2 linked regions of the Struthio camelus genome follow. The protein of the gene in region 1 interacts with the protein of each later gene in a pairwise test. Links are inferred from orthologs where the notes say so. Each region holds a gene or a part of one and is shown in the gene's direction. Other genes may lie near its edges.

Region 1 (6,993 bases):
AATTTCCTGCTTCTTTCCAGTCGCACGCCTTGCATCTAGTCCTGTGCTAGCTCCCAGTTAATGGGAGCCTCATCTCAGCACCTTGCCCTATCACGCTGCTGCTCCCTCAGCAGTTCAAAAGAGCCCTCTTGCCTTCTCCTTCTTGCCCCTGAGCTGCAGCAGGGTTAGAAGGGGGAAGTGAATGGGAGCAACTGAACTCGGGAGTTTTGCATCCTTCCCCTCCTTCAGTTGCTCCCATTCACATGTGAAAAGGTAAAAAGGGAACTGCTCATAAATAGGGTAGTGTGAAAGCCTGTCATGTCTTTTACAACGAATGGCTGGGCTGGGTTAAGAAACTGTTCTGGCTGGTATGCGTGCCAAGAAGACATGCACAATGCATTTGACAACAACTTGCTGCCTCTGGAAAAGCAGCCCTCAAACACTACACAGAGGCAGTTCAGCCCTGTTGCTGCTGCATGAAAACTTTTAACAATAAAGCCTTAATGAAGAGCATGACAGTGGGACTGCTGTCTTGCAAGACACAGAGGCATTGGGAAAGTGCATGCTAAGCCAGAAGAGCCTGTTTTGGGGCAAGTTTGTGAGGCCTCTGGTTTAGGCATCACAGGACAGAACTGAAATTGTGATCAGACTCTGAAATTCCAGGCCTCAACATGAGGTGGTGCAAAGTATCCACTTCCTATACATGAACTGAGCTGCTGTTCCATGCACAGTGACGGAGGAGGAAGTGAATGCCTCTGGGTAAGAACTGGAGATACAGGAGGTGCTAATGAAACTTCAAAAAATGACGTTATCAAAACATAAGAAGAAACTAGAAGATTCTTCTTGGGGAATTCATCCTGCTCATTCATTCCTGCTCATCTCTACAACTACCTGCCTGCTTTTAGGAAGAAGCAAGAAGAGGGATTCAGAACTTAAAAGGATTTTTCCCCCCCTATGCTTTCTACTGCAAGAACAAATTTCAGAGAGGGGGAGTCCCGCTTTATAACTTTGTGTCATTTATTCACTAAGCATCCCAGGCATGCAGTATAACTTGAGTGCCTCCATTCCCCATTTGTAAAATGTGGATGCTAACACATACCAGCCTTGGGCAATATAATCACGATTCCCTTAGTCCTAACAACATGCTCACAGCTGCATGTTACACAAATCAAGTCAGTCCCTATTCAAAATGCACAAGTCCTGCTGGAAGAGGTGCTGAGCACTTGACACTCCAAAATGACTTCACGGGCAGATGGACATGTTCTCCCCACCCCTAATTAATATGATTCACTCTTGAGTTGTTAGCACATTAGCATAAAGAGCTCTACCCTCCTACCGCCCTGCTTGCTCAATTAAAGTGTCATTTGGACCTGATCCCTTCTGTGTTTAGAACACATGCACATATAGAGCAACACTGTAATTGTAAATATTTGCCCAAGGTCACCTCTGACACTTCCAGTTTGTAATCCAGAGGCCTAACTAGGCTAGGGACTCATCAAGCTGACAGTGGTGGTAATGTTCCCTGACAAAATCCTATCTCCTGTGGATCCCTTTAGAAAAACTGTTTGGGGGCTTAAAATACCCCTGACACCGAGCTGTGGCCTGGTAGGTCTCAGCCCACCTGGGCCATGGTATTTGGTGTGTTCTACAGATGGAGCCACAGCTGTGCACATCCGCCATTGGGCTTTGATTTGCAAGTGTGAGAGAGACAGCAGTAGTTAGATTCCTGGAGGACAGGAAAGAGAGGCACTGACACTTATCCCCTCCATATCGTCCCTAGCAGCAACTCCAAAGCCTCTGTTTCTCCCATGCTCCCTGTCCCTGCCAGCTTGCCTACCTTTCCCAGTGATGTGGTAAGGTTGTCATCATAGCTGGGAGAAGGTGTGAGATCAGGATACCACACAGCTGGCTACTGCTGCATGATGCCTGCTGGCTGGGCTCTCTTTCTCACCAGCATGCTTTGGGAGGAAGCTTGAAGGTCTCTGAGCTTGGGGCTGAGCCAAGCTACCAGACTCCTGTGACAGCTGCTCCTTGGCAGCCCTGATCACAGTGCAGAAGCCATGTGAATCCAGGCTCGGTTACCTGCAGAGTCCTTTGAAATGGGGTGTTTGTGGTCTCCAGTCATCTGTTAGTTGTTAGCAGCCTGTTTTCTGTTGCAGCCTGATGTGCCTCGTCTCTGGGTTGCACATCTGCGCTATTATCTTTGCTGTTCCCTGCTGCTTCATGTTTCCATTGGCCCATACAGTCAGTGTCTCCCCCTTGTACTGCCTCATCTAAGCTATACTGTGTTCACAAATGTACACACATAGGCGGGGGTCTCTGCACCTGGTAATTGGTGACCCTAAACACCAGTGCAGGATGTATAACTTTGCCCAACAGACTAAATCTGATCCCAGGTACCTGCTGCAGCCTATTAATAGCACTGAATTCAGGAAAGTTGCTTTAATTTCCTGCCTGTCTAAACAAAGGAAGAATTGGGCCCTATCAGGCTCTGATCGGGCTGTTTGTTCTCTTCTCGCTTGGTTTGCACAGATGCAAATGACAAGAATCAGTCCCAGGACAGCTATGAATTACGTGACTTGGCCACAGCAATGCAGACTGTTTTCCCTGTCAAAAGAGCAGAGATAGGATTTAACGCCGAATAACTGGTGTACATTAACTATCCCACTGTCAGATTCTCCTAGGGAACAGGATCTGTGATTTTTCTGCAAGGTAAACTAGGTGAGAACAACCCTGGCTGTGGTTATGATGTTGACTTCTATTACTCGGTAAAGTACAGCTGTCTTTTTCCACTGGAATTTCACAGTGTGACAACTACCATGTGTTCGGTGCCTTACTGTAAAAATGAAGCACATACTATGTGTCTGGGCATGCAATGACGATATCAAAGTGAATTAAGGGCAGAAAATGAAAGGGCTGCAGGTCCCTGCACACTAAACCGTTCCTTTGACATCTGAAAGGATCTCTTCCTACCTCACTGAGCGGCACCGAGATCCTGGATATACTTTTCCTCCTATTTATTTTAAAGAGAAGGGTCATTTAACAGTCCAGGCAGTCTTCAAATATAAATAACCTGTACAGCATATATGCCTGTTACCAAGGAATAAATTACATTTCTGGGTTCCCCTTCCCTTGTATCTCTTTGATGTTATTGCTTTGCACTTATATGTATGTATGTATATATGCACTTTATAAATAACAAAATAAACTTACCCAATAGGCTTTTTTACTGTATTAAAAACATCAGAATATCCACCCACTCTTCGGGACTAGAAAGTGGGGTTGGAGAGGGAACTAATCTAATCTATTTCTCAGCTGTATCGGACAATGGAAAAGCAAACACATTAAGAGTTGCTGCGAAGAAATTTAATCTCAACTTTTAAGTATCTCCTCCACTGTAATAATAATAAAACACCCCACGGATCTCATTTAAAGCCTTTGCCTGATGTACATGTCTGACTATCCTTGTAATCGCTATTGGTCTGTGCACAAGGAAGAAATGTTTCCTAACGCTACGCTCCTCTTCCTCGTGCGGGGGGACAGAAGACGGGTGGTTAAGGGCTGCGCTGTCCTCGGCCCCGACCCCGGGCGCCGCGGGCCGGTGCCCCCGGAGCACGTCGGGGCGCGGCCCGCGCGGGCCCGCGGCTTCGCCGTTCCCTGCCGGCCTTCCAGCCTCTCTCCTCCGCCGCCGCTCAGGCAGACACGGCGCGCCCGGGGGCAGGAAGGGGCGGCCGCGGGGCGGTACCGCCCGGCCCGGCCCGGCTCCGCGGCGCCCGGCCCCGCTGGAGCCTCCCCGGCGCGCCCTGGCTCGGTGCCACCGCGGCGGGGCGGGCGGGGGGAGCGCGGCCCCGAGGCCGCCGTGCCTGGTGCTGCTGCGCTGCCTCACCTGCGGCGGCGGGCAGGGCCGGCGGCGGCGGCGGCGGCGGCGGCGGCGGCGGCGGCGGCGGCGGCGGGAGGGCGGGGGGGCGGCAGGGAGGGCGGGCGCGAGGCAGGGCGGAGGCGGCGGGAGCGCGGCGCCCGCCTCCCGCCCCGCGCTCCGGCTGCCGCCCGCGCCGCCGTCTCCCCCGCGCCGCCGCCGCCGCGTCTCCAAGATGCCCGGGCAGCGGCGGGGAGGCTGCCGCAGCCCGCTGGTAGGTTGCGGCCCCGGGAGAGCGGAGCAGGGCGGGCGGGTGCCGCCCGGAGCCCGCGGGAGTACCGGGGCCCCGGGGTGAGGGTGCCTGGCCGGTCGCCGAGGGGGCGAGGGCGCGGGGTGGCGGGCAGGGCTCGGGTCCCCGGCGCTGCCGTTGCGATTTTGCAGCAAGCGGCGCAGAGCGGAGCGGGGGCCCGCACCGCCCCGTGCTTTCCCGGCCACGGCGCTGCCAGGGGCTCTCGCCCTGCCCGGAGCCGGCGACGCCCGGAGCCGGCGGCGGCTCGGTGCGCAGGCAGCTCTGCCAGCTGCGAAGTGTGTTTGCAAATGCTCCTAAGCATCTTCCGCTCCTCGGTGGGGAAGAACAGAGGAGTTTGCGCTCGGCGCCCTCCCAGCCTTTTTCCCCTTCCACGGGAGGAAGTTCAGGTGCGCCGAGTCCATCCTGCAAGACCAGCCAACGCGAGGTGCAGTGAGACGTCCCCTTTCCTTCCTAGCCGTTTCTGTTTGCTCGGAACCATCCTAGTATGAAACAGCTATTTGTTTGCTAGTTGGCCTTCAGGCTGGCGAGCCGGAGAGGACAAACTTGCCTTCCCACTCCAAGCTCTCCGTGCCAGCCAGTTTAGTTAGCATCTCCCACCCTTTTCCTGATTTTCCAGGTAGTGTGCGCGTGTGTCACATCCTTTCTGCCTCTCAGCCTGGCGACTACATTTTAAATCACTGCGTTTTCAGTTTCAGGCTCCCACTGCTGTCAGCAGGGAGCCCTGTGCAGTGTGGCTGCTTTCTGGTTGCTCCAGTTTTCGTTGCTAGCAGTGTTTCACAGCTTTAGCGATGATAAAGTTTAGCTAAATTGAAGTTAAAAGATAAGGGGGTCTCCCGAGGCTGGCGTCTTCAGAAATCTTCTAGCATTCTTGCAAAGCAAGGCGGAAAGGGGCACGTGTAATGTCTCTAATAATGCTAACCCCTCTGTCTCACTGAGAGACTGTGCAATATTTCATGGGATATTGCTCTACCATTTAATTGACTGTGCAGGACTGATATTATTGCTAGTCCTGAAGTGTAGCGTATTTTGGTTGCATTAAGTATCTGACAAGTTGTTAGAAAATGTGGCTGAGTGACACTCAAGACTTGAATTCCTAGTCTTTAAGCTTTATTTATGTCTCTTGCCTCCAAAAACATATCAACTGCATATTTTATTGCTCTGATGTGCACAGCTAAAGATGTTTGTAACGTAGTTCACAGGCGGCAAATGGCCATTCCATTGAATGGGTTGTAGAGCTTTTGGAGAGGGCAAATGTGTCTTGTTGCCCTACAGTTTTCTCAAGTCCTGACACGCTGGGGTGTTAATGGCTTCAACTGTGCCTGTTCTGTCTGGCTTTTGCCCAGGTCTTCTCCCGCTCTGAAGCAAGCTCTAAAACCTCGGCTGAGTCTTTGTTGTTGAAAGCGGCTTCAAGAAGACCGTCTGTCTTTGAGTAGCTGCCGTAGCTAGAACGAAGCTGGCAGCCTGTACCCACGAAGGCTCTCTGTATCGGCACGGAGTCATCGTTTGCTCCTAGACAGTGTATTGTCTTACAAGTGAGGTCACTGCTGGACAGCATGCTGGGAATTTGGGAAGCGGTGCCAACTGCTTGTCGTGCTGTGCGTGGGACCGAGACGCGTCGAGTTGGGGTCTGAACTGCTTCTTGAACCTTCTAAGAAGAAGAATGGTGCCCTTCCTTCCTTATCTCCCCCCACTCCAATGTGATCTGGGGATCGGGGGCAGAGGCGTCGAGGTCCTGCACGGCCCGGTTTGTGGCAGAGGAGGGCAAACTAGTTGGGGGATGTGGGGTAAGATGTCTGTGGAATAAACAAAGGCAGGCTGGTGAGTGCAGAGCTTCGTGGCTTCTGCGGGTGCTTTGGTCTCTGTGCTGGGGTTGTCGCTGCTGCATTTAGCCTGCTAGGAACGCGCTCAGAGCTGTTCACTTGGCTTTTTCTTCTTGTGAATGGGCAAGAAATAAGGGGGAGGGGAGGCCGTGAACGCAGGTTTATTTGTGGCATTTGCCCGCTGGGCGGTAGTGTTGTAAGGCTGCGATGATCTCTGTTCCAGGGGGCTATTCCACAAAACTACTTCTGGGAAACCAGCTCGGAAAAGGCAGTGAGTGGGGATAAAAATACAAGGAGGAAGAGCAAGTGTCAGCGATAGAAGCAGTTGCATTGATTCAGGCAGGTGGTGTTATTGCTACAGAGAGCCCTGGGTGTGCCTGCTGCTTTACAAACAATTAGAGACAGGTCTGTGCCCTGCGGAGCCTTTTGCGGCATCAGGTGAAAGTAGTGCGTACAGTGAGTGTCCGAAAAGTTGCACTGCCTGTTTTGTAAACGTTGCTTTAGAAAATGAAATTATGCTGCAGTGTATGATAAATTCCCTTGAAGGGTCTGCTTGCATGCGCAGTGTGATCTGATGGCCTCATTGGCAAAGGCACAGTGTTGGGGGGGGGATGCTAACAGTTTGTATGTGATTGCATATATATATGTTTGTAAACAGGGGTGGGATCGTCCTTGAGACAAGAGAATGGTTGACTTTTTTTTTTTTTTTTTAATCAGGACTCTATCATCTCCTCTTTGGGCTGGGGAGGTATGTTTCCAAGTCTGCACTTGAATTTTTCATCCGGAATCCCCTAGCGTTTGGCTTCAGGTGCATTTGTGTGCAGTCAGTGGTTGGGGCTGCTGCTGGGAGTTGCTTGGCCAGCCGGAAGTACGGAGTGTTTTGCTGAACCTGTCATGTCTCAGGTCAGCTACTGACTTTTGACAGTTCTCGCATCTCAGGGCTGCTCTTTTGCAATGTGGCTGGTAGTCTGAGAAACTGTGGCTCTTGGCCGTCCAGGCAGAGAGGCTGGATCTCTGCGGATCCAGAG
Region 2 (7,598 bases), on another chromosome or scaffold:
GGGGTTCCCGTAAGGAAAGGCAGCGGAGGAAGGACAGAGGCCCTCACAGAGGAGAAAACCAAACAAACAGCAATAACATCACAGAGAGGACATCAAGAGGGACCAAATCAATAACTAAATATTTACTTAGAGCGCAGTGGCCACACTGCCTGCTGCTCCCATGCAACCCTCCCACGGCAGGGGGGGGGCTGAGTCCGCAGCCCTCCGCGTTGCTGCGGACACGTTTCCCCAGCCCCCCCTTCCTGCACAGTTCTGCTCCCTTTCCCAAACCTCGGGGTGCAGATCCCACTTTCCTCTGGAATCTCTCCAACCCCTTCACCTCACGTCACTTCACTGCCGGACGCTACCAGCAGGTTCCTGAGACGGCCTTGGCGCGCCGGGAGGAGGGTGCGGAGCTGCAGCGGCTGCAGTCCCCGGGCTGGAGCTGCGTCTGCAAGGTCCCGATGGCTCACGAGGCGCTATTCATAGTCACGCTCCTAGACATAACATTTTATTGTGGTCACACACATGGGATTCTCGAGATCCACCCCAAACACGCTGACCTTGCCCTGCGGTACAGTTTGCAGACACAAACAGTGGCGGCTCAGAAGGGGGCTGTAACTTTATCTGCCTTCTGACTTTGCCGTCAACAGCCATAAGGCCGCCGAGGTATCAAATCCGCAGCCCGCCGTGCTACCGCCCCTCTTCAGCTTTGCTGCTTTACACCCTGCCACCTCATGCCCTGTGTACAGCTTATCGCTGTTCACGGCAAGGGACACCCCTGTCTGGCCTGAGCACCCCAAGGTCCCTGCCGCAGTCGGGGGTCTCAGCACAAACAGCAGTGCAAACAGGAACACAGGTGCGCGCGCGCAGGAAACACCCGTGCCAGCCCGTGGGCAGGACCCCCTTTTTCTCCTTAGGCTGCAGTGAGGCATGGGGGGTCGCTCATAGATCTCAACAAAGAAATTTAGTCCAAAGCCTGACGGGCAGAGGTTTTAGCCAGCAAGTTGACAACGCAGCAGGGAACGGAGCTGCCCGTGTCGGGTGCCGGGGCGCAGCGAGCTCGCACGCCGCCCCACGGCACCCCGGCTCCGCGAGCGCAGGGAAGGGGCAGCTCAGGCTCGCGCCGCGCCGCCGCCCCCGCCGGAGCCCGGCCCCGTGCGGACCGCCAGGCTGGCTGAAGGCTCGGGGCCGACACGTCGCCGCTGGCGCCCGGGGCCGGGGCTGAGGGGCATCGGTCCCTGGTCTGCGGAGGAAGGCGGCTGGGGCCGCTGCCCGGAGGCACAGGCTCTTGCCAGCCTGCCCTGTCCGCAGGGGATCAGCTAGGGAGGAGCAGCGACAGGACACCGCCGCTCCCGGCCCGGCGCGGGCTGGCTCTCCCTGGCCAGGGCAGGGCCAGGCCGCACCGCAGCAGGCTCCCTCAGCCCCCCTGCACCAGCTCAGGCGACTCCAGCACTCGGTTTCTGCAGCTCGGCTGCGGCTCTCAAGGGCACGCGGGGCAGAGGAGGCACGCTGCGGGCTCCGGGCTGCTTTCGGCCGTTGCTTCAGGCTTCTGCCGTCCCCCAGAACCGAAGCCAGCCAGGGAGAGCCCGTCCCTGTTTGCTGAGGTCTTTAACTCCACCTGAATGGCACATTATGTGCTTTGTGTGCAATTCCCAAGCTCTCCTTTAACAGTTAGGTCTAATTGTTTCACCTACTGAGTCACATGTTGAAGCTCACTCCTTGCCATGGTGACACTGGATTCATTAGGTGGGAACACACTGTGATAACCACACAAGATTAATATCTCATCAGATGATCAAACGCAGAGCAGGGAGCTGGGCCTGGAGCTCCAATTGCCGTCAGGACGTAAATGCCAGAAACACCGAGAGCTCTTGCTTATTCCTGGGCATCAGTTGCTGTAGGATTATAAAGCCACTAATGCCTTGTCTGCGAGGGCAAACCGCAAGCTGGCAGGGCACCGAGGGAGACCCACAGCACTGGGGCCCTGCCCGAGCGCTCCATCCCTCCTCCTCTCGCAGCTCTGCAGCCAGGCTGGCCAAATCCCCCAGCTCCTGTAAGCACAGAGGCTCCTGCGAAGGCAGCAAGGTCTGCCTGGGTCTCGCCAGCAGAAACAGGGATTGTCTGAGACGCAAAGCTACCGAAGAGCGCTGCAGTAAGCACCTTCACGCAGCGCCACGCCACGGGCTGCGCCCGGGATGCCCTGGCCACAGGCAGCCAGCGCTGCGAGATGGGCTGGCTCTGGCGGCGCTGCCCCAGGCCCAGGGGCCTCCTCGCGCTCTCGGCCTGCAGCCAGGGCCTTAGCCACGCTGGCAGGAGCCGCTTTACCCAGCTGGTCCTGCCCCGCCTCTCGCAGAGGGGCCGAGGACAAGGCGAGAGGCTCCCCCAAGACAGAATCCCCCGCAGCGTCAGCCTGGAGACCTCTGCAGCAGCCCTGGGACGCCCCGCGGCCCCCGACGAGCAGAGCCCGGACCCAGGGGCAGTGCTGCTGCTGAGAACCACTTTCTGCCGCTTCCTTCCACACCCCGGACTACCCCGCTCCCTCAGAACAGTAAGTTGCACTGGCTAAATCACATCCTCCCACGAGGAAACCTCCCAGCCTGCAGCCCAGGACACCAAAAGGAAGAGTTTGCTGCCTTTCCTTTGGGAGCATGCTCCAGCGCTGAACCTCCATCTGGGAAAACACACTTGCTTTTGGATTTCCTGGGCATCCACCTCTAGCAATGCCCATCACACCCCGTGGCCTCCGCAACGTGCCCACGAGGGCCCCTGCTCGGGGCTGGGCAGGGCGACCACCTGCCACGCGCACGGCTAACACAGCACTCATCCCTCCCCACTTCCCAAATTCCTGTTACGAGATGTGTCGCAGACTGGCTCAAGTCCTGCAGCTAGGTTTCCTGGAAGATAAAAACCTCTTCCTTTCTTTCAAGGCAGCACAAAATTGCAGACGTTGGCTTGGTGGTTTGTGACATAGTTTTGCCCTACTTCAGAAATCTTGTTTTCCGTGCCACAGAAAAGCAGGGCAGCTCTTGCAAGCTGATCAGTTCCCGAACAGCCGTTTTCCTCTGTGAACTCTAGCACCTCCTCGGAGGCAATGACCGTGGTGAATGCGTGCTTACGTGGGCAGCACCCTGCCACATTCAGAAAATCTTTCTCCCCTGCTATGAAACAGCCACGCCCCCAGGCCCTTCCTGCCACACACATGCCACAAACCTCCCGTCACTTGCACTGGGAAAGCCCCAGGAGGTTCTGCAGTGGTGGCAGTGGGAGAAGCATCTCCCCCCACAGAACAGCAGGAGAGTCCCGCTCCTCCAGGGTAAGTCAGCCTCCAGGTGCTCACGGTGCTGCAGCGAGAAGCGCTGCTGCGTAGGGAGCTGTGAAGGCGTCCTGGCAGCCTGGGAAGACACGAACCCGAGCAGCGAAGCTCCTGCTTGGCTTGGTTTGCTGCTAGTTTACAGAGCAGGAGGGCCCGGGACAAGACTCTGATCAACACAGCAGTGAAAAACCTTCACAGCTCCAGGCTTTGTCTCAGGTCAGACATCAACCCCAAGACCCAGCGTGGCTGGCAACAGGCACAGCACGAACTAAGACCCAGCGTGGCTGGCAACAGGCACAGCACGAACTGAACCCACAGCAGCTTCTGCAGTCGGACCCTACCATCCACCCAAAGAGCAACAGGTTCCCCTGGCCGTGCTAGGAGGAGCTCTGCAGCCCCACCAAGCACAGGATGCGTCCCACAGCCTCAGCAAGACCCTGCAGGAGTTAGAGGGACGGTGGCACCGTGGAGCCGCTGACATCCAATATCCATACAGCTGTACAGCAGCTGCTGGCTCTGCTTTTGCTGCTCATCATCTCCACTTTAGCTGCACAAATGGAGAAGGAGCAGGAACTTACATCACGGGCTGAACATCTTTTCCATTCAGAGTTCAGTCACTAAATTGGAAGAAGGGGGCCGTGAGCATCTGTGCCTCAGTCATCTCTCACCCCATGATGGTGTGCTTTATCTAGAGCGACACTACCTCGGGCAAATAATTCGAAACCCAAAAGGCTGGCAGCAGGCGGAGACCAAGACTCTAGATAGAGCCAAAGGCCCTGAGCACCAGGACGTGGATTAGGGAAGAGGCGACCAGATGCCCCAAGAAAATCGCAGCCCGAGCAGCGGAGGGCCAGAGCCCCAAGGCCCGAGGGAAGCTCCGGCCAGCAGGAAAGGCCTGCTCACGCGTCCCCCGTTCCCCAGCGCTCGAGAGGGCCCTTCGGGGCAACTCCGCACCCGCGCTGCGCCGCCAGCGCCTCCCCCCGCCGCCCGGCGGACCACGGGGAAAACACACGCAGCAGGTGGCGCAGCCGAACGCCCCCGCCCCGCCCGCCGAGGCGCGACGCCGCCCGTCGCCTGGGTGCCGGCGGCGGCGGGGGGCAGCGGCCCGCGGGGGGCGCTCCCCCGGGCGGCGCGGCCCAGCGCCGCGGCCCGCAGCACCCCCGGCCCGGCCCCAGGCGGCACCGGCAGCCGCCCCCGCCGGCCGCTCCCCCGCCCCGCCCCGGCGCGCCGGAAGTGACCGCCGCCAGTGGCGTCACTTCCGGCCAACGGCTCGCGGGGGCGGGAGGCGGCGGTTCCGCCGGAAGCGGGGGCGGCCGCAGTTCCGGTTCCGGGGGAGGAGGGTGCCCGCCGCCGCCAGAGCCGCCGCCGCTGCTGCCGCCGTCCCGTCCCGTCCCGACCCGCCGCCACCATGTCGGTCCCCAGCGCCCTCATGAAGCAGCCGCCGATCCAGTCCACGGCGGGCGCCGTGCCCGTCCGCAACGAGAAGGGTGAGCGGGGCACCGGGGGGGCCGGCGGCGGCGGCGGGGGGGGGAAGCCCGGGCCCGGTGGCGGCCGGCCGGGCCCCGGTGACGGCCGCCCCGCCCGCAGGCGAGCTCTCCATGGAGAAGGTGAAGGTGAAGCGGTACGTGTCGGGGAAGCGGCCCGACTACGCGCCCATGGAGTCCTCGGAGGAGGAGGACGAGGAGTTCCAGTTCATCAAGAAGGCGAAGGAGCAGGAGGTGGAGCCCGAGGAGCAGGAGGAGGAACTCGCCAACGACCCGCGGCTGCGGCGCCTCCAGAACCGCATCAGCGAGGACGTGGAGGAGCGGTGAGCAGCGCCTGCCCCCGGAGGAGACCCGGCCTTCCCCAGAGCCTCTGCCTCCGGCCCCGCTCTGCCGCTGACCGTCACCCAAGCACGGCCGCGCTCTCCCAGCCCTGCGGGAGCGGTCTCCAGCGCTGTTGGCGCGGGTGCTGGATCGTGCCGCGGGCCGCCGCTGTGCCGTGAGCACCCCTGAAAGCCAAGGGTCACGGCAGCCCCGCGTTCAGGAGCGGTTTGGCTGGCCCAGGGGAACAGCGGGTTCTGAAATAAAAATTAACACAGCGACACCTCTCTAGGCTAGCGGGAAGATATGGTTTCATCTGAATCGTATTCAGGGCAGAAAGTATCTGAGCACTGTTTACCTTCCCCCATAGAGGTACTTCAGCCTTCAGCACTAGTAAAGGGGAGGCTTCCCACCAAAAACACAAATGGGGAGGAAAAGCCACTGCCTGGCTGCTCCTGCCTTTTAGGAAAGGACATGCTGTTTCACTCCCAGACTCAGTCGTTCCAGTTTTTACTATGGCCTCATTAAGAACAATTCACAAATAGCCATCTTTCTGCGGTCTCTTTACGCTCAAAGTGCTGTAGTTCAACTAGGGTCTGTTACAGGCTGGCCAGACACCGTAAAATTGTGGAGCCTGAAGTGGTTGGAGACAGCGATTCAGAGGTGGAGGGAGAAGCTTGGCGGCTCGAACGGGAGGACACCAGCGAAGAGGAAGAGGAAGAGATCGATGATGAGGTATGCTTGCAGACCTGAACAGACTTGGCTTAAGAAAGCCCCTGAATGACACAGGCTGGAATAACCCATGTACGTGTGGAAAAGGCTATCTGGTGAAACTAGGGAGTTTCAGGACTTGCAGGTCACTCCATAGCTGGCCATGACTTAACTCTGGGTTACCTGTCTCTTGCTGCGAGGTGGGACGCTGGGTGAGGCCACCTTCCATCCTGAGGGACGGGAACATCTTTTTGTAACAAAGAGGTTCCAGACATGTCACTTCTGGCACAAAGAATCTGAAAGGAACTGGCTTCCTGCCTGAGGCAGAAAGTCTGTGGGGAAGGGAGCGGTAGCAGGGCTGCTCCACTGACTCCTCTGTGTTTGATGCACCTCCGTTAGGAGATTGAGCGTCGCCGTGGGATGATGCGCCAGCGAGCGCAGGAGAGGAAGACCGAGGAAATGGAGGTGATGGAGTTGGAAGATGAGGGTAGATCTGGAGAAGAGTCTGAGTCAGAGTCCGAGTATGAGGAGTACACAGACAGTGAGGATGAAATGGAGCCACGTCTCAAACCTGTCTTCATCCGCAAGTAGGTGACACGGTCAGGCAGGTCGGTCCTGTGTGAGGATGCAGGAGGCAGCGGCTGGGCGCCAAGCAGACGGTCACCGCTGTGATCTCCGCTTCGTACAGCGGGGCGGTAGCACTGCCTGCCTCCTAAGGGGAGGTGACAAATACCAGCCTGGCAGGGCACAGCTGAGGAGTAACGGGTGTTCGCTGAGCGGCCACGGGCAGCTCTTGCAGCTGTGTCAGGTCACTGCGTGGGACCAGCCGGTGGGTTTCATCGCAGCAGGGTTGTGCTAGGGCATTTGGGCAAGCGCTGTACAAAGAGCTGGGAAGCTGGCAGAGGGTAGTGCACCACGGCGGGTGCCTCGCGCTCTCTTCTCTCCACGCATGCCTGTAGCTGTAGGGGGAATTAGCAGGGCTGCCCTGGCTTGGGCAACAGCAGGAAGGGGAGAGCCCTTGAACTTGGCTCTTACTTGGAGAGTAAGGGCTAAGGGTCACTGCAGCACGGGAGCAGGATAAGTCTGTGAGGGGTTCGGCTGCATGGGCTCACGCTGAAAGGTTGAAGGCTTTTGTGGTCTCTGTCTATAGGAAGGACCGGATCACGGTTCAGGAGCGAGAAGCAGAAGCCTTGAAGCAGAAGGAGCTGGAGCAGGAGGCAAAGAGACTAGCAGAGGAGAGGCGCAAGTACACGCTCAAGGTACCGCGGGGCTGGCTGGGGGTGGCACAGGGAGGGTGGGCACTGCAGCAGGCTTACTTTCACCCTTGCTGCAGATTGTAGAAGAGGAAGCAAAGAAGGAACTGGAGGAGAACAAGCGTTCGCTGGCAGCACTGGATGCACTTGATACAGATGATGAGAACGACGAGGAGGAGTACGAGGCCTGGAAAGTACGTGAGCTGAAGCGTATCAAGCGGGATCGTGAAGAACGAGAAGCGTAAGTATTGTCTCTGCTTAGATCTGTGGCTGAGCGTCGGCAGGCCCAGGCCCTGCACCCTGCAGGCCAACTGACGGTTGAGGCCTCTCTTCCTCAGGCCTGCTTTTGACAGCACACTCTTACCTAGACAAAGCATCCAAAACATTTCCTCTCCACCCTCAGGGTGGCCTTGCTCCGCTGTGGAGTCAGTAAATGCAATCCCTTAGAAAGGCTTTCTGCAACAGTAATTGTCCCGAAACATTGCCGTGAGAGGTGCTGATTCTGAGGGGTTTTTGTCCTGCCAGCATGGAGAAGGA

Evidence for each region.
Region 2: the proteins of MID2 (region 1) and MFAP1 interact in binary tests that used the Homo sapiens proteins (3 or more experiments, as listed by UniProt). The two-hybrid records come from large-scale screens. The link is inferred for Struthio camelus from reciprocal best matches to the Homo sapiens genes MID2 and MFAP1.

The regions. Positions count from the first base shown.
Region 1 is NC_090952.1:2,236,103-2,243,095, reverse strand, and holds the start of MID2 (probable E3 ubiquitin-protein ligase MID2), read left to right. Parts: upstream 1-3,983; 5' UTR 3,984-4,109; intron 4,110-6,993. UniProt on the Homo sapiens protein: E3 ubiquitin ligase that plays a role in microtubule stabilization. Mediates the 'Lys-48'-linked polyubiquitination of LRRK2 to drive its localization to microtubules and its proteasomal degradation in neurons.
Region 2 is NC_090953.1:487,424-495,021, reverse strand, and holds the start of MFAP1 (microfibrillar-associated protein 1), read left to right. Parts: upstream 1-4,580; 5' UTR 4,581-4,703; coding exon 4,704-4,782; intron 4,783-4,882; coding exon 4,883-5,102; intron 5,103-5,702; coding exon 5,703-5,832; intron 5,833-6,207; coding exon 6,208-6,395; intron 6,396-6,958; coding exon 6,959-7,067; intron 7,068-7,141; coding exon 7,142-7,302; intron 7,303-7,586; coding exon 7,587-7,598. UniProt on the Homo sapiens protein: Involved in pre-mRNA splicing as a component of the spliceosome.